4 linked regions of the Schizosaccharomyces pombe genome follow. The main gene of each other region encodes a partner of the protein of the gene in region 2 in a complex. Each region holds a gene or a part of one and is shown on either strand. Other genes may lie near its edges. The genes, in order: mrpl32, mrpl39, mrpl16 and mrpl51.

The links.
Region 1: mrpl39 (region 2) and mrpl32 share a complex: the UniProt entries of both Schizosaccharomyces pombe proteins name them as parts of the mitochondrial large ribosomal subunit.
Region 3: mrpl39 (region 2) and mrpl16 share a complex: the UniProt entries of both Schizosaccharomyces pombe proteins name them as parts of the mitochondrial large ribosomal subunit.
Region 4: mrpl39 (region 2) and mrpl51 share a complex: the UniProt entries of both Schizosaccharomyces pombe proteins name them as parts of the mitochondrial large ribosomal subunit.

The regions. Positions count from the first base shown.
Region 1 is NC_003423.3:3,905,399-3,909,610, forward strand, and holds mrpl32 (mitochondrial 54S ribosomal protein bL32m), read left to right. Parts: upstream 1-2,453; 5' UTR 2,454-2,739; coding exon 2,740-3,051; 3' UTR 3,052-3,333; downstream 3,334-4,212. Other genes in the region: PAK-like kinase Shk1, read left to right, coding at 1-1,660; SPOM_SPBC1604.12 (uncharacterized protein), read right to left, coding at 3,495-4,212. UniProt on the Schizosaccharomyces pombe protein: Component of the mitochondrial ribosome (mitoribosome), a dedicated translation machinery responsible for the synthesis of mitochondrial genome-encoded proteins, including at least some of the essential transmembrane subunits of the mitochondrial respiratory chain.
Region 2 is NC_003423.3:2,699,717-2,703,848, reverse strand, and holds mrpl39 (mitochondrial ribosomal protein subunit bL33m), read left to right. Parts: upstream 1-2,097; 5' UTR 2,098-2,599; coding exon 2,600-2,622; exon of another isoform or gene 2,623-2,673; coding exon 2,674-2,775; exon of another isoform or gene 2,776-2,806; intron 2,807-2,833; coding exon 2,834-2,876; 3' UTR 2,877-3,114; downstream 3,115-4,132. Other genes in the region: ATP-dependent RNA helicase Mak5, read left to right, coding at 3,490-3,645, 3,682-4,132. UniProt on the Schizosaccharomyces pombe protein: Component of the mitochondrial ribosome (mitoribosome), a dedicated translation machinery responsible for the synthesis of mitochondrial genome-encoded proteins, including at least some of the essential transmembrane subunits of the mitochondrial respiratory chain.
Region 3 is NC_003423.3:3,506,639-3,511,549, reverse strand, and holds mrpl16 (mitochondrial 54S ribosomal protein uL16m), read left to right. Parts: upstream 1-2,416; 5' UTR 2,417-2,616; coding exon 2,617-3,264; 3' UTR 3,265-4,027; downstream 4,028-4,911. Other genes in the region: ARS-binding protein Cbp1, read left to right, coding at 1-779; protein tam12, read left to right, coding at 1,647-1,847; lys4 (homocitrate synthase), read left to right, coding at 4,243-4,911. UniProt on the Schizosaccharomyces pombe protein: Component of the mitochondrial ribosome (mitoribosome), a dedicated translation machinery responsible for the synthesis of mitochondrial genome-encoded proteins, including at least some of the essential transmembrane subunits of the mitochondrial respiratory chain.
Region 4 is NC_003423.3:1,697,856-1,702,124, forward strand, and holds mrpl51 (mitochondrial 54S ribosomal protein mL43), read left to right. Parts: upstream 1-2,077; 5' UTR 2,078-2,226; coding exon 2,227-2,292; exon of another isoform or gene 2,293-2,383; coding exon 2,384-2,546; exon of another isoform or gene 2,547-2,642; coding exon 2,643-2,851; 3' UTR 2,852-3,017; downstream 3,018-4,269. Other genes in the region: protein Mdm34, read right to left, coding at 1-1,238; cytosolic thiouridylase subunit Ctu2, read right to left, coding at 3,018-4,118. UniProt on the Schizosaccharomyces pombe protein: Component of the mitochondrial ribosome (mitoribosome), a dedicated translation machinery responsible for the synthesis of mitochondrial genome-encoded proteins, including at least some of the essential transmembrane subunits of the mitochondrial respiratory chain.

The sequences.
Region 1 (4,212 bases), 1.2 Mb from region 2:
CCAAAAGAAGTCTGCGTTTGAAAACTTTGTCTCGAGCATGAGTTCGTTCTTAACTGGGGGTGGTAGCAGTCCTACAAGTTCCTATGGGTCAGGCTCTGCCAGCCCTCGCAAATCGACTGTCATCTCTTCTCCATTTGATCCGAAGCATGTCACTCACGTTGGTTTTAATTATGATACTGGGGAATTTACTGGAATGCCTACTGAATGGCAGGCACTACTAAAAGTCAGTGGCATTACAAAGTCGGAACAAGTACAACATCCACAGGCCGTTTTGGACGCTATGGCTTTTTATTCCCAATCCAAGAAATATCTTGAGGAGGGAGCAAAGCCACCCTTTCCCCGTGAAAGTACTGAGAAGCCTTTACTCTCCGTTTCAGCGTTGTCTAGTAGTTCTCATCTTCAACCCACCTCTGCTACAAGCTCATCTTCTCGTTTGTATCCTTCTCGACCTGCTCCCACGCCTCCTGCAAGTTCTTCATCGTCTCCTTTATTATCATCACAAACAGTTAAAACTACTACCTCTAATGCTTCTCGACAACCTTCTCCATTAGTTTCCAGCAAGTCAACCGATAATATAATCCGAAGTCATTCCCCTGTTTTGTTAACGCCTCAAACCTTAAGTACATCTGAAACGAAACATATCCGTCCGAATAACTCGACACCATATCAACGGAGAGCCGAGACTAGCACCAAACCGAAAGCTGTTGCGACTCCTCAAAAAGTGGAAGCACCAAGTGCCCCTCGACTTCAAAAGCGTGCACCTCGACAACAATCCAATGATTCTGCTGTATTGGCAAAGTTACAGTCTATATGCAATCCCAAAAATCCAACACTTTTATATCGAAATTTTGTTAAAATTGGTCAAGGTGCTTCTGGTGATGTGTATTCTGCTCGCCAAGTCGGCACTAATCTTTCTGTTGCCATCAAGAAAATGAACATTAATCAACAGCCAAAAAAGGAATTTATTGTCAATGAAATACTCGTGATGAAGTCACATCATCACAAAAACATTGTCAATTTTATTGACACTTTCTTCTATAAATCAGAGTTGTGGATGGTAATGGAATACATGCGCGGTGGCAGTCTTACTGAAGTGGTTACCAATAACACTCTTTCAGAAGGTCAGATAGCTGCAATATGTAAGGAAACGTTGGAAGGCTTACAGCATCTCCATGAAAATGGCATTGTTCACCGTGACATAAAATCAGACAATATCCTTCTCTCACTTCAAGGAGATATTAAACTTACCGATTTTGGGTTTTGTGCTCAGATCGACAGTAACATGACGAAACGAACGACGATGGTTGGTACTCCATATTGGATGGCTCCAGAAGTCGTTACTAGAAAGGAATATGGTTTCAAAGTTGATGTCTGGAGTCTTGGTATTATGGCTATAGAGATGGTAGAGGGAGAGCCCCCGTATTTAAACGAAAATCCTTTACGTGCTCTATATTTAATTGCTACTATTGGTACTCCAAAGATTAGTCGGCCAGAATTGTTAAGTTCTGTTTTCCATGATTTTCTTTCTAAATCTTTAACTGTTAATCCTAAGCAACGCCCTAGCTCCGGTGAGCTTTTAAGGCATCCGTTTCTTAAGCAAGCCGTTCCAGTTTCATCCCTTATCCCTTTGATAAAATCCATACATCATTCTGGTAAATAGGCTAACTTGTCAAAAAAGTTTTTGAGTAAACATCTGCTGTTAGAAGTTTCGGAATATCCTCCAACGTTTGCTTAAAAACTGTTTCTTCTCACATTGTTTATTTATCGTTAATATGCTTTTGCAGTTCGTTAGAATATATGTACCTGAGTTTATTTTTTTGCCTCCTCCACTAAAATCCATATCCGCAGGTTGGGCAGATTCAAACAGAGTACATTTTAACTACTTTTTTGCTTTACTTTAATTCCTTTTTCTAGTGCATACTTTACTTATCTGTTCCTTTTTTTTTGTTTTTTTCTTACTGCCAAGAATGATCTCAGTGACACTTGGATAATTTTTATAATAAATGAGACAATGCTTCTTTCTAAAAGTCTCAACTTTTTAATATTCGCAATGCATTATAAAAAAACTAAAAGGAAGACTAACTTATCAAAGTATTCAAAATGTAAGTACATGATTCTGAGATTGATCTTGAATCAGTCAAAATAGGTTTGAATCTTTTAAAGCGATGTTTCAATTTCAATTATGTGGAATCTCAAAGTGAAACGCCTGCTGGAATATTTCACAAAATTTTTGATCTACTAAAATTAGTACAAATACGTAGAAAACTTCAAATAATTAAATGGACTATGATTGTAGCGTAGTTCATGAGCTTAAGAAAATTGTCAACATTAAACTGCGAGACTTAATAAAGAGAGAGCGCACTTAGCATTTAAATGTCAAGCCAAAGCAATAGTGAATTTGAGGAGTCTCGTTATACATGGGTTATTACTACTCAACAGCAGACTATAGATTTAGGCAGCAGCCTACTTCTTAAGCATTGTCTCGAAACCAAAGTAACTGGTCTTTAAGTTTCCTTTTGACGACTTCCAATTATTTCAAACTCTTTTCTCGGAGATCGTAAATCTATCTGTGATTGGGTCTACTGGTTTTAGAAAACGGCTATATGCATCGTTTTATAACTATATAATTAAGATCAAGTTCTGCAGTAACTAAGTTCGCCTTACCTTGAGAAAACTTTTAAAATATTGTTCAGCATTACTGTACCCAACAATATTCTACTGTTCGCGCTTGGGTCGAAAATGGCTCTTTTAAGAGGAAATTCTTTGGCAATTAGCCAAAAAATGTTATCAGTTTTTCAAGCTAGCGCCCTTCCTCATATTTCTTTGAGGATATTTATTTCCCCCCCTTCAATAGCTAATATATGGAATTCCATTTTGCTTGCTGTTCCAAAGAAAAAAACTTCTTATACTAAGAAACGAAGTCGCTTACTGTCCGGAAAAGCATTAAAAGACAAAACAGTTAATCGTTGTCCTATTTGCGGGTCTTTTAAATTGGCACATCATTTATGTTCTCACTGTTTTAGAAATATTCGTCGAGAATTTAACGAATGAAGGGCATTAAGCATTTCTTCACTGATTTAGTGATGCTGCAAATCTTTATTTTAAGAAAAAAAATGGACTTAACATTAAATATAAGGTTGTTTCATGTAATAGTATTGCAGTTAGTGAATTGAATCTGCTCGCACTACTTAAATTTTTTCAGTATTACGATTAATGAACTACACCCTTTTTAAAAATACGCGTATAACAAAGAATTTTTTTACTTAATTTTATTTGTTGACTATGTACGGTTGAGTATAAATATCATATATTATGCAAAAGAATTTAGAGTGAAAAAATAACAAAAAAGCTGAATATATCTCTTAGCTTTCATCCTTTTTCAATACACGTTTATGTTGTAAGCGTGTAAATAATATTAAATGCATCGAAAACACAAAAGAGACTATAATCTCATGTAAAGTATACATAAACGATAACAATAAGAAAAAACCAAGCTAGTTTTTCGCCCTCCATAAACCGGAATCAATTCGTTCTCGGCGTTGAGGATCATAACGATTAGCGTTCATTGAATTACGAAAAGAGCGACGAGCCACTTGAATTGTCTTGCTACCTGGAAGACAAACAGTTACACGCAGTGGATGAGTAGGATGAATTCGAAGGGGTTGTTTGGAAGATGAGCGGTATATAGGAACCTTCTCCTCTAATGGTTTCATTTCCTCTAATTTTAATGATTTAGTAGGAAGAAACCGCTCCGGGTTCACTTTAGGCAAATGTAAATTCAAAATAACATCGCCCTTCGATCGCTGAATTCGAACAGAATTTGCATGACTAAGTATCAATCTCGATGATTTTAAAGAGCTCGTTTCCGAGGATACTACATAACTACTACTTCTGGTATCACGACCTTTGGAGTGGCTGTAAGAAGAGGATGAAGAAACAGGTTGACCGAGAGCATTAGAATTGCCAATGCGTGAAACTCCTCCATGTTCGTTGGGGACACGATGGGGTAAATGAGCATTTGCGGCCACCCCACTTTGATAGGATCTCTGTTTATATAAGTTATTGTCAAAAATGACATCCTTTATACTTAAAATAACTTCATCAATACTCCGAGACTTTCCATGTTTCGGGGAAGAAGTACTATCATCAGATTGGGGATTCAACTGTAAAGGATCATTTTTATCCGACGTAAATAAAGGCGAGACTTGAACA
Region 2 (4,132 bases):
TCATCTCTTGATCGAGTGTATAAGGGAACACTTGGGGAGCAAAGACCCATTTTGGAACTTGTTGATTTCCTGATGATTCCTAATTTTTCTAATAATATGTTTCTTTATTAAACAGATCAACTATCGTACACACCCTGACGCTTGTCCTTGGATTACGGGAATACTCAGCTCAAAAAATAACAAAATAATGCGACGGAAGGAGAGCACAGTGTGAGATCTGATAGCACAAACTGGTAAAAGTCGGTTTATCAATTTGACCTGTACTACCCATCGCATGATCTTAAATTACGCCTTTTCATGCACAAAAATGGAAAATCTTTCAAGAAAGGAAAATTTACTCTAACAGACGATATTGTCTCACTATCCCATGTTTGTATTATGTGCAGACTAATTAACTTAACGTTCTTTTTAAACTACGTTATACTTGCTTATAGGAGACAACGTGCTTAACTGAAATGTTAACAGTTGCATACTTAGACTTATCTTGGATAGTGAGTTTGGCCCCTTTACCCTATATGCCAAAAGATGACCCAGGGGGTTAATATTAAGGCCTAAAAGGTAGGAGGAAGCAAGAAATGGTAAAATGGCACGTGCCAAGCCAAACAAGAAGAGATGATAGACACGCAGCTAAAGAACATAGCAAGCTTAAAGAACAAATAACAAAGCATTTTGGTTGGGAAATTGATCAGTTGAAGAAAGTTATTAAAGTTAATGATTATTATAGATTTACTAGTAAATACATAAAAACCAAGGAAAAGATAAGAAAATAAAATAAAATATAAATAATAATTAACGATAATTATATGTATATATAAGAGGATAATAATTTTATATATACACAGCAAATCCATCCTATATTTAACATAGTATTCCTCTATTAAGTGCGAATATTCTTTTACTTAATTCAGCCTTTGCTTATTTAATGCGAGTTGTCTCAGCCCTTAGTACAATGTCAAATCCTCTTTAAAAGATAGTTATTAAACCTTTTGTTATTCTAATGACAACTGTAACATATCCTTGACTTGTTTACTATCCCTGCTGTAATTTCCAACTCAATTTTTATTCTACATATATAAAGCATCAGTTAAAGATATTTTCGTTGCTTCTCTCCATCATTTTCACAACCAGGAAAAATGTTTATTTTAAAATTTCCCATACTATTGACCATGTAGAACCGTAATAACAATCGTAAACATTGCACTTAATGAGCTTTAAATACTCTCTCAATTCTTTCATTCAGTCTCCATATCCGAGGGATGTAGCCTTCTCCAGTCTATTCTATATCCGTCTTTGGGTGCGGCTATACTTGCGTTGTATAGATTTTCTCCGTATGCATCGTGATATGTCTCAATTTCGCGGATGAGATACGGACTTGGGATTTCGGGCAGATCGTCATACAATGTCACTAGCTTCCGCAATTCATGCGATTTGTTCATTTGCATTCTTTATTTGGCTAACCCTTGTAAAATTGGGAAAACACATTTTATATTCTCTTTGGACCCATAAACACTTAAAGTGACTTGTAACTCATCCATCCTAGTCTTGGTACAGCAAATGAATTAGGTTTGCTTACAACTTGAGGATCGTCTTATACTTTCAGTATTGCCAATAATTTACAGTTACAATGATACTTAAAGCTTGCGTTTGTTTAGAGCCGAATATATATATATATATACACGAAAGGCTTTTTAGAACCACCTCGTCATAAATGTTTCTTTACTAGGCTCGCTAATTTCCATCTGTGTTTTTTTTTCACGCTAGCAAACTATGCTATTGCAATTAGTTCATTCTTAACGTCCTAATTCATCTAGTACATGTCATTTTAACTAAAAGAATTTTTCCTGAAAGAAAATTGGTTCTTTCATTTGAATATCATTCTTTCCAAAAAAAATGTAGAAATACAAATAAGATTATAAATTGGCAAAGACGCGATTGGACTTTAATTAAATACCCATCTACAGCCAATAATTAAAAAACAATAATAATTGTAATAAAAAAAAAGAATTTTTCAAGAGTTGTTCATCACTTCATATTTTTTCTTCGAATGTTAATAGAACAGCAACTTCTATTTATAAGATTACTTATAGTTTGTTAATTATTCCTCTCTGTTAAATTGGCAGACATCAGGAGAAGAGACGCAGCAGACTCAATTTGTTATACTTTCCTTATTAACATTTTTTTATTTTTTATTTTATTTTATTTTTATTCAAAAATTCTTTCTAATTTTTTTATTCTTACTGTTCGTCTTTCGTTCTTAAGTGCCGTCATGCATGTTTCTCAATTAGAATTTCAAATCTAAATGCTTTTTTTCAAAACAAGTAATTCATTGATGAGCCTTTTATCTTTACTAATAGTTCTATAGTCTACCTAAAACAAAAAAATAACCTATTGAAAAGCCTCGATTGTACACAACCAAATTTAATAAAAATTGGATTGCAAAAAGGCTTTCTCATTACTCAAAACAATATCTTTGAATTGCAAACTTTCAATTTTACATTTCTGACTGCAAGTTATCCATCAAGTTAAAAGAGCTCGCCCACAAACCCTGGTGTAACTACAAAACCTTTAACTTACCGCTTGCACTGTACGTATATCCAGAATGGCTAAAAAGAATAAAGCTCGGTAAGACATACATGCTTAATTTAATGCGCATTTTTAACATTTATTTTTCAGTTTGCTTGTAAAATTATTGTCCACCGCTGGCACTGGATTTTTCTACGTTCGTTCACGTCCAAAAGCTGCTCCTAAGCTTGCTTTTATAAAATATGATCCCAAGTAAGTTATTATGGATTTTCTAAAGCCTCATTTAAGAAGCTAATGAATGAACCCATAGAATTCACAAAAGAGTACTTTTCGAAGAATCCAAAATGAAATAAAAACTTCTTCCATTTCAATGATAGTCTGAAAATGAAATGCTAAATTATGACCGATCAATCTACCTTTTTTCTTCAAAAACTTTATGGATGTGCATTAATTATGTATTAGCTTCCCAACCTACATCTTATACGACATAATTCTAAACAGCTGCGTGAACATAAAGACCCTTATATTATTCTGTCATATCTATAATTCCTATTTTTATTATTATTATTTAAGAGAAGGACTGAGATGTCAAATTTTCAAAGTAATAAGAATGTTCCTTTCACCTGTACCAATTGCTAGCCGAATTAGAACTATAGTAGTAACATCGTTTGTGTTTACTACTCTTGTAAGCACTGTAGCTCAGATCATTCGATTCTAAAATTCTCAAGCAATATTTTTAATACAAAATGGTTGTACTATTTAGAAATTATGCAAAACATGGCAAAGCATTGAATTGCTAAAACCAATCGTCGTTTAATGTCTTCGTAACATTTAATTATTTGTTTTCTATTAGCTTATACGATGCAATTATTTTTATTCCCTCGTTCCAATTCTTAGTGTAAATTTTTGTCTACCTACATTTTCTATGTGGAGCAAACTACTACACTTTTCAACGCTTTGATCACGATGCCAAAGAAAGCTGCATTGGACGAGCTTAAATGGAAGGAAGTCAAGCTTCCTGACCACCTAGACGACTTCGATGGGTTTATGGGCTTGGAAGAGATTGAAGGTGTGGATATCAAATATCAGCCAAAAGGTGCTATGAAAGAAGTAATTTATGAGGTATAATTGTTTATTATCTAATTTATTAACAAACAGTTACCAGAAGTTCATGAAAAAAAAGATAAAAAGCCGGAAAAGCGAAAAAAAGATCAAAAAGAAGCTAGTGAAAAAAAGAAAAAGGGAAAACGTACTTCCCCTACTATTGAAATGACTTCACTAGGATCAAAGGTGACTTCTAAAAACTATAATGAATTCTCTACATTAGAAGAAGAGGATGAACACAATTCTCATGGTGTGGACGTCTCTGCTTGGGCACACTTTTCACTTTCACCGGAAATGCTTGGCTCGTTATCTAAAGCTGGCTTTTCAAAACCGATGCCAATTCAATCATTGGTAATTCCTGAAGCTTCTATTGGATTTGATATCATTGGAAAGGCAGATACCGGTTCAGGAAAAACTTTAGCTTTTGGCATTCCCATTTTAGAGCATTGTCTTCGCAATGTAGATGCAAAATACGTACAGGCTCTAGTTGTTGCTCCTACCAGAG
Region 3 (4,911 bases), 810 kb from region 2:
CTATAATGGAGGAATGGCTACGTTGGTTTGATGCGTGTATGGAAGGTCGCAAAGTCATACTTCTTATTGATAGCTATACTCCACATTTGCGTGCTGTTGAAAACATTCGAAACTCTGGTAATGACCTCAGAAATACAACTGTAATTACTTTACCATCTACTTCAGCCTCTATTTCCCAGCCTTGTAGTGAGGGTGTGATCTATGCTCTAAAAGCATGCTATCGCAAACACTGGGTTCAATATATATTGGAACAAAATGAGTTGGGACGCAATCCCTATAATACTACTAATGTTTTAAGAGCTATTTTATGGTTGGTGAAAGCATGGACGACAGACATATCACCAGAAATTATTGAAAATGCCTTCAATCTTTCCGGTGTTCTTGGTCTATTCAATGAATCTGCCGTTACCTCGCGTGCCTTGGATGAAATGATTCATCCACTTCGTGAGCTCGTCTCAGAGTTTTCTGTTCAAGCTGCTATGCGTATAGAGGATTTTATAAGTCCTTCAGAAGAGAATATTGTTGATTCCTCTGAGGATATAATCAATCAAATTGCTTCGCAGTACATGGATGATCGCGCTTTCGAGACGGACGAAGAAGAATCTACTGAATTCCAGATTACCACTAAAGACGCTATGAAGGCGATCGAGCTTTTGCTAAACTATGAAGCTCAACAACCCGATGGAAATCCTGCAATCACGATTAGTCTATTAAATTATCAGAAGCTCCTTGAGGCAAGGGGTGGTAACGTGAATCTTTCTCGTTTGAGAAGCACCTAATGTCTGTATTCGTTGTGCATATTTGACTTTTTTGTTTTTGGTTTGTATTTTAGTAGTTTTAATTTTCTTTTTGTTGAGTTTGGATCCCTTACCTAATGAGTAATTTGCTTTTATTCCTTCATTTTAACTTGTTGCTCTATTTTTAATACCCGATTGCAACTGATGAGCTTATTTGATTTTTCTTTGTTTTTATTTTAATTTTTTTAAAAAAACCTTTTCGAAGTTTCTTAAACGCAAAATCGCTATACGAGCTAATGAAATTGAATATTATACATTTTGTAATTCATGTCTCGCAATCAAGTGCTTTTAATATTGATACTATTTATCTTTAAAAATAAAAACCGGCTAAATGTAAGAAATTTTTTTTTTTTATTGAGGCATATTTGTTTTTTTAAGGTCGAGATTAGATTGTAAATAGTTGAACCGTAGGGGTTAGAGCTTCAAAAAATGATAAATTATTACTGTGAAACCCGAATTTAATCCATTTACGCATGATTGATTTTATAAAAATGTACTTCTCTTTTGCTAACTGCTTCGTACTGTAAATAAGCTTACTTTACAGTTAAGCATTACAAAGGTATATGATGTAATGATATAAGAAATAATCAATAACGAACTTTGATGTTATACGTAACATGAAATAACGATTTCTCTTCGAGACCTAGACTAACATGGCGATGTTCATAACTATGGCGAGTAAGCACATTTCTATTTCTACAAATAACTCAAATCCTTTGCTTGAACAATCAAGCGTGTTATAGCTTATTGGAATTTTTTAAGACTTTTTACAGCAAGAATCAGTAAAATCAGAGAAATTCGAATTGGCAAGTCTTCAAGGTTGTGTCCATTCGGAATATTTATTAAAGTATGTCAACAACTAGTTCTTCGTCGACGTTTTCTACGAGAACAGCGTCTTTATCCCAATCATATACAAATTCATTAAAGAAGGAAGCTGCTCAAAAGACGTTAGAAAACTGGGAATATCAGGCTATTCACGCTTTGCAGAACAATTCTTCTTTTCCCGCGATACGTAGATCAATGCGCAAGATTTTAGCAGATCCTTCATAATTTCCTAATCCCATTTTTTGTTTTTTTTATAATCATGATGTGAGCAAGTTCTTGCTACAGGGGACAAAAGAGTTGCGCTTGGCATTCTTACGTTCGATTGTCCATACAATAATGTTTAGCTCGATAGAGGATCCTTCTAATGGTTTATAAACGTACATCAGAAGATTTTTTTAAGACAGTCTTAACATTCCAAATACCAATACTGAGGCACTAAACAGTTGAACGTTTTGTTATTCTTCAAGGACAAGAATTCCTTGACAAGAAATGAGCTAAGTATATTATTTGAAATAGCTAAAATAGTCACTGTTTTATTTCTATTCACGCATTGTTGTCATTGAAATGATGATGCTGAATCAAATAATGTGTTGAGCATAAAACGCACGTTAAATTCAGTATCTATGAAAATAATCTTTTTTGCCTAATGCTTAAGATAATTTTTTTTTTTTTTTTTACAAACTAATAAACAAACAAATAAATAATTATAGCTAATGTTCAGTTATTGTCCGGCTTCTTCCCGGAACTTAGTTAGGATAAGTGGCAGCAACACATACAGAATCCAAGTATCCTTTAACCCCCTTCTCATACAAAAAATAGCAGGCCTATTATCGTTACTATTGTTACCATTTTCCCATAAAAAAAGAAATATAATACTTAAATTTGATTATTTTGAATATTTCTGAGTAACTTTAAAGAACGACTTTTGCATGATAATAAAAACACGTTGTTTTATGACTTTTTGAAACCCTCACAACATAAAAACTTATATAATATGGCTTTACAACAATACAATAAATTTCCTTTCTTTTTTTCTGGTATTTTAGGACCTACGAGGTTGAATGGTTTACAAATGCCGCCTATCCAAACGATGGTTCGTTGGGGACACCAGTATGCACCCAGAAGCATCAGAAACCAAAAAGCTCAGAAAGGAAGAGTCCCTATACCCATAGGAGGTTCACTACGTGGTACTCAACTTGAATGGGGAGAATATGGTATGCGATTAAAAGATCGAAGTATAAGATTTCATGCCAAGCAACTCGAAACTGCCGAACAGATTCTCAAGCGTATATTAAAACCTATCAAGGCTGCTCGGGTATACACACGTTTTTGTTGCAATGTGCCAGTATGCGTAAAAGGAAATGAAACTCGTATGGGCAAAGGCAAAGGAGCTTTTGAATACTGGGCTGCACGGATACCAATCGGTCGTGTACTTTTTGAAATTGGTGGTGATGGAATGCGTAAAGAGTTAGCTGAGCATGCATTGAAGCAAGCCGCTTTTCACCTTCCAGGCAAGTATGAGATTATCGTCAAGCAAACCCCCAAAAGATTGGGTACCACACTGATTCATGAAACCCCCATTACCACCGAGACAAGCAAAATGAACTATCAGGAAATTACCAGTACTACTACAGCTGTTTAAGGGAAAAGTTAAGCTGAATTTATCTATTTTTAACCCATTCAATAATTACTTTTCTGTCATACTTCTCACTTACTTAGTTTGTGAACTTAATGCTGCATCTTTGTACAGACATTCATGAGCTTCTTTTCAATCGTTGTAGTTATTCTATGTTTTAGTGAATGAAATTTGCCAGAAATGCCTTAAAACATTGTACATTTTGCGCTATGTTTCATTATCTATTTTCGAAATGGGAACTTTCATCCCCAATGAGAGAGTTGCTTAATTTTTGTTGGCGAAATATGAACCACTTTTGATTCACTTTGATTACGGCTCGGCAATTTCGTTAAAACATCAAATTTCTTTGGTCCTGAAAAGTTGGTAACGGTAATGAGTGTTTTTGGCGAAAATCTTATTTGCTGCTCTCTGCTCCGTTGGGGACTTTTTTTCGGGATGTAAAAAACGGCACGTTGTATATGTGCGAAATCATGAAGTGAATCAAAAAGTACACTTTAAATAATATGAAACTGATTTTACTATGGAATTACGAATGAAATTATTCAAATCAACTCCACTAAAATATTTACAACGTTTACAAAAAAAATCACTATACCTTCTAGAACCTAGCTTAGCAATCCACTGTTGAGTGGATCAGTAACTTAATCATTACTACCATAGATCTGATTAAATCTCATCAAGATCGATCGGGATCTGTAAATCAATTTTCTACCATAAATTACCGCGGTTGCCTACGAGTTGGTAGTGACTGTTTCTTTCAGTAAATAAATAGGGTAGGGTCGAATTTTTTGAAATTCATACATACGTGCATCCTTGCTCTTAGTTGTCTCCTCTACAGTGATAAAAGATTTAGCTTAAAAAATTCAAAGCTAACAGGTTTCGGGACAATAAGTTGTTGAATTGTATAATTTATATATTTATACTTAATTCATTTTAGAAAATTCGCTTTTCCTTTTCCTTTTTTTGCATTTTAAAGTCATCAACATGTCTGTGTCCGAAGCTAATGGTACTGAGACCATCAAGCCTCCTATGAATGGAAACCCTTATGGTCCCAACCCATCTGATTTTCTTTCACGTGTCAATAACTTTTCCATTATTGAGTCTACTCTTCGTGAAGGTGAGCAATTCGCAAACGCTTTTTTCGACACCGAGAAGAAAATTCAAATTGCTAAGGCATTGGACAACTTTGGTGTCGATTACATTGAATTGACTTCTCCCGTGGCTTCTGAGCAGTCCCGCCAAGATTGCGAAGCTATTTGCAAATTGGGCTTAAAGTGTAAAATTTTAACTCATATTCGCTGTCATATGGATGACGCTCGTGTCGCTGTTGAGACTGGAGTTGATGGTGTTGATGTTGTTATCGGAACTTCTCAATATCTTCGCAAATATTCCCATGGAAAGGACATGACTTACATTATTGACAGCGCTACCGAAGTTATCAACTTTGTCAAGAGCAAGGGTATTGAAGTCCGCTTTTCATCTGAGGATTCTTTCCGTTCTGATCTTGTCGATCTCCTTTCTCTCTACAAGGCTGTAGACAAGATTGGCGTCAACCGTGTTGGTATTGCTGACACCGTTGGTTGCGCTACTCCTCGCCAAGTCTACGATCTTATTCGTACCTTACGTGGTGTTGTCTCTTGTGATATTGAATGT
Region 4 (4,269 bases), 1.0 Mb from region 2:
AACCAGTTGTTAGTGATGGTATAATTCCTTTTAAGTTTATTAATGTTGGTAATAATCTTTGTAGGAGTATCAGGTATGGAATCAAACGCAGATTCAGTAAGGTCAACGTTTTTAGAACCAACAAAAGTTTCGGAAGAGGAAGCAGACTTGTTTGATGCTTCATGAATTTTAATTACATGTCTTTTCTTGACACGTTCTCGGCGGCGGAATTGTGAGGTACCATGACTACGACCAAAAATGGATGGCCTAGCCGTGGTGTCATTTGAACCAAGATAGTCTGATGCGGAATATTGGGTTGCAGGGGAAGATACAGCAGAAATATCATCAGATTGAGTAGTCAATTGCTGTATAATCGTATCGGGAGGAGTTGACCGGTATATGGACATAGGTATTGAAGGAGAAGAAATAGGAAGTAGTGCTTTTCTGGATAAGGCTAAAGAAGCAATAGATCGAATGTTAGGATGCGTTTGGACATCCAATGGGCCCATTTTAATTGGGAGATGAGTGTCGACTTTCGTAGATTCATGATAGTCGGGAGGACCATCTAGCAAATCTGGGTTATAATTAGCCAGAGAAGTATGAGATTGGTTAGGAGAAGTGAAAGGAATTTTTTGAAAAGATAGATTAGAGTCGGACTTGGCAAACCAAATTCTTGACATTTTGTATATGATGGAAGGAAGTTCTTCCTGAAACAGGGAGACCAGTTGCACCTCGATTTCTCTTTGTAAAAAGCGAGCAATAGCAGGAATAGAATCAAAGGAGGAAGATACACGCACGGATTCTAAAGGATCGTTTCGAAATACCACAGTGATACCTTTCTGCTTTGAAAACACCAAAACAACTATTCCGTTAAGCTTTAAGTCGGAAAGTCGTAAAAACATAGGCACAGTAAGCGGTGCACGAGATGCTAACATTGTATTACGAGAACTAAAACTGGGAACATTACTTTTTTGCACCGATAATGGATTGGCACGAATTTTTGTTTGCAAGACCAAAGAAGCATCACCCGAATAATGGAGATTAAAGAGGCCCTGAAAGCGGTCTGGCGCTAAGTCGCCAACCTCTAAAATTTCCAGTTGAGGAGGTTGGGGACCCAAATCCAACTCTTTTACAGTGATGTGGTCTGCAATCATCGAGTGTTTAGTGCCTTTGTTTAAAGCAGCCGTAAGCAAAGTGGTTGCTCGCTCATAGAATGACTCAGAGAACTGATCACTCCATCCCTTTACACGAAACGACATTCTGTTGATTTTCCTAAGTTATCTACATCAACTATGAAAAATGTCAAATTTTTTTGTAAGGAACCGTCTAGTATAGACTAAGTAACTAACGCTTTAGATCAATTTCTTTACAAAATTTTTATTAAATTCGGATAGGGAAACGACAACTTCCATACAGTGGCGGACAGTAAATAAACATCGATAGGCTGGCTGATGCACTAGTGCGGCATACTGAACCTTGATATAGCCAAGATAAGGATAGGGTCGATCGTACTGTATATGAACGAAGGTGTATTAGAATGCATTAAATAAATTATTACAAAATGCACAGTAGTTTCTTATGCTATACTGGTGAAATATATTTTCTTGCTATTCTGTTCATTTAGGAGGGATAAATAAAGCTTCATGAAATGAAATTCCTTAGATATTCAAATCAGAAATTCAGCCATTATTTTAGAAATGATATTAGTGGTGTTGCTTACTGTATTAATTTGCTATGTTGACAAATATCTAGGCTGAAGAACTTCGAGTACAAGAACCGATACAACTTTGCTCTTTCAGAAAAGGATATCTCTGCATAAATGAATGATATTAAATCAAAATTGTTCGTTTTAAAAAACCTATATTATGTTTGTTCGCAGTCCATGTACTACGTTAAAAAATCACTGTAAACTTTCTAGATATCATTATTTAGAGAAGAGCAGAAAGGTAAAGTATTGCAAAGTGTGTAACCAGAAACTGTAGGTAGACAGTAAACTTGATTTTGTTGCTAAAATTTTTTATAAAACTAATTGCATACTAAGTTTAACATTCTAAATCAATTGGAACAAGTATTGAAGTTTAGAGCAATTTGGGATTTGCGAATTTCCACACACCCCTTTACGTCTCCATACCGACTTTTCATTATTTCTGCAAGGATTTGCTCACCCAACTTTTTTCAATATAGCATATTAAGAATTCTGGTTTTTAAAAGACGGTATCCCCTTTTTTACGGCCTTTTACTCACTTAATGATGATTGAAATCATTCCTAAAATTTCAATTCCCAAAAATGGACTAGGTTCATTTACCCGCCCAGTAAGATTTAATCAGCTTTCTTTTTTTTTAAAAAAAAAAAAAAAAAAAAGATTGGCCTTCATTAACTTCGTATTACTAATTTTCTTTTTAGTGCCGTCGAATTGAGTTTTCGTATTGTAATTGGGGTGGAAGCTCAAAAGGCATGAAAGAATTTTTATCCACAAAGCTTGAGTCTTTGGCCAAAGAATCTCAAGATGTGGAATTTCATGTTACAAACCGCCAAGGCAAGCATCCATTAATCCGAGCTTATTACAGTACGTCCAAGACTTTTCTCTTATTATGGTGATCCTCTTAGTTTTATAAATATGAACTCCTTAAAATAGTGTTTTTTACTAATGCTACGATAATAGATACTGGTCGAGAGAAGGTCATTTGTACAAGGAAAATGTCAGCGTCTTCAATATTTCAAAAAGCAATTCTATGCAGAGATAGTGATGGTTTGAAACCTCGCCTCATAAAATATCCTGTTGAGTCAACAAACCCATCCGTTCGTGGTATTTGGAGTCCATTTTCCGATCAAGCAAAGCCCCATGAAATTTATAAGAAAAAGTCCCCTTAGATTCCTCTACAAACTACTTATTATTTCATACAAAAAAAAGAAAATTCAATTTAATCATTTTCGTTATGTTATTATGTCTAACCTTTTTGTCCGAAATACAAAACCCTATCCAAATTTATCTTCCCATAAATACTCTAGTTAACCAGGTAGTAAGTGTACAGATGTATCAAATCCCTTCTTTTTCAATATCAGGAATATGCAACGTCCCTTTTAAGCTTTTTAAAGAAACAGAACAGCCATAGCAAACATTTTGATTCTTAATACCTTCAACGGAATCCGGATGTTCAACCGTAGTTTTTTGTAACCAAGTCTCAGCATCTTCTTGCATTGGTAGATTACAGATGGTACATATGGCTTCTGTAGAAGGCACATGCAATTTTGAGCTCATTTTGACAACGGTGCTAACCAGACTTGGGAATGTATCATTCAGCGATGAGAAATATGATTCTGTAACGCCATGAATAGTATTAGGACGTGCTTCAATTAAGCTATCGCAGAAAGCTAATCCCTTAATGTTCATATACGACTTGAGGTCTGAAGACAAAACTTCACGTAGGGGACGTAGTAGGAAAGTATCGCAATTTGGAAGCTTAGAGCAGACAGAAGTGTACCATGGTATCGCAAAACCTCGACCCTCTGCCACAAGTTCAAGAACTCTTGCAGCAATTGTAGTACCGCTATCACCAAAAACAATGGTATCACAATTTGCCTTCCGGGCATAGGATACTAAAAGCTTATCCCGAATTCGGTAAAGTAAATCTTGACGCGAGGCTAACGAACTAATGACTTCTGGATTAAATTTCTCATTATCTGCGTTTATTTCTATATTTCCTCGTGAGTCTGTAGCAATGGTACGGTTCAATAACTCAGCTTCACCAATAACTTTGAATGGACATTTAGGATAATTTTTGGAAATACTTTCCTCAATCGTTTTTGCAACAGCTGAATCCGTTCCCCACTGAAAATGAACTGCAAGCAATTCATCAAACATAGGCCGGTAATTATCATCTCGATATTTTGATAAATAATTGGCTGTTTCAAGCATTGCCATTGAAGATATACCACCGGAAATAGCCAGCATTGCTCTTTTAGATTTGCGTCCTTGTAAATTGGGTCGTACAAGCTCAAATTGCCGACGAATTTTGTTCTCAATTCTTCTGACAAAGCATGAATCGCAGACCGCATCTGATTTAGTCAGAACTGTTGCCTTATTATCGCATTTGGAACATTTTGAGTCGGCTGAATTGTCTAGAGCCGTGTTCTGCATTTTTTTAGATTTTTCTATTGTTTTTCGAAATGAAGGTCCACAAAGTACTTTCAAAAAAATTATCCGTATAAATAAATAAGTTTAAGAGATACCTATTCTTCTTTCAATTCCAATTTTATGGAAAAAGAATAGTTGGTGGTGCGCAAACCAA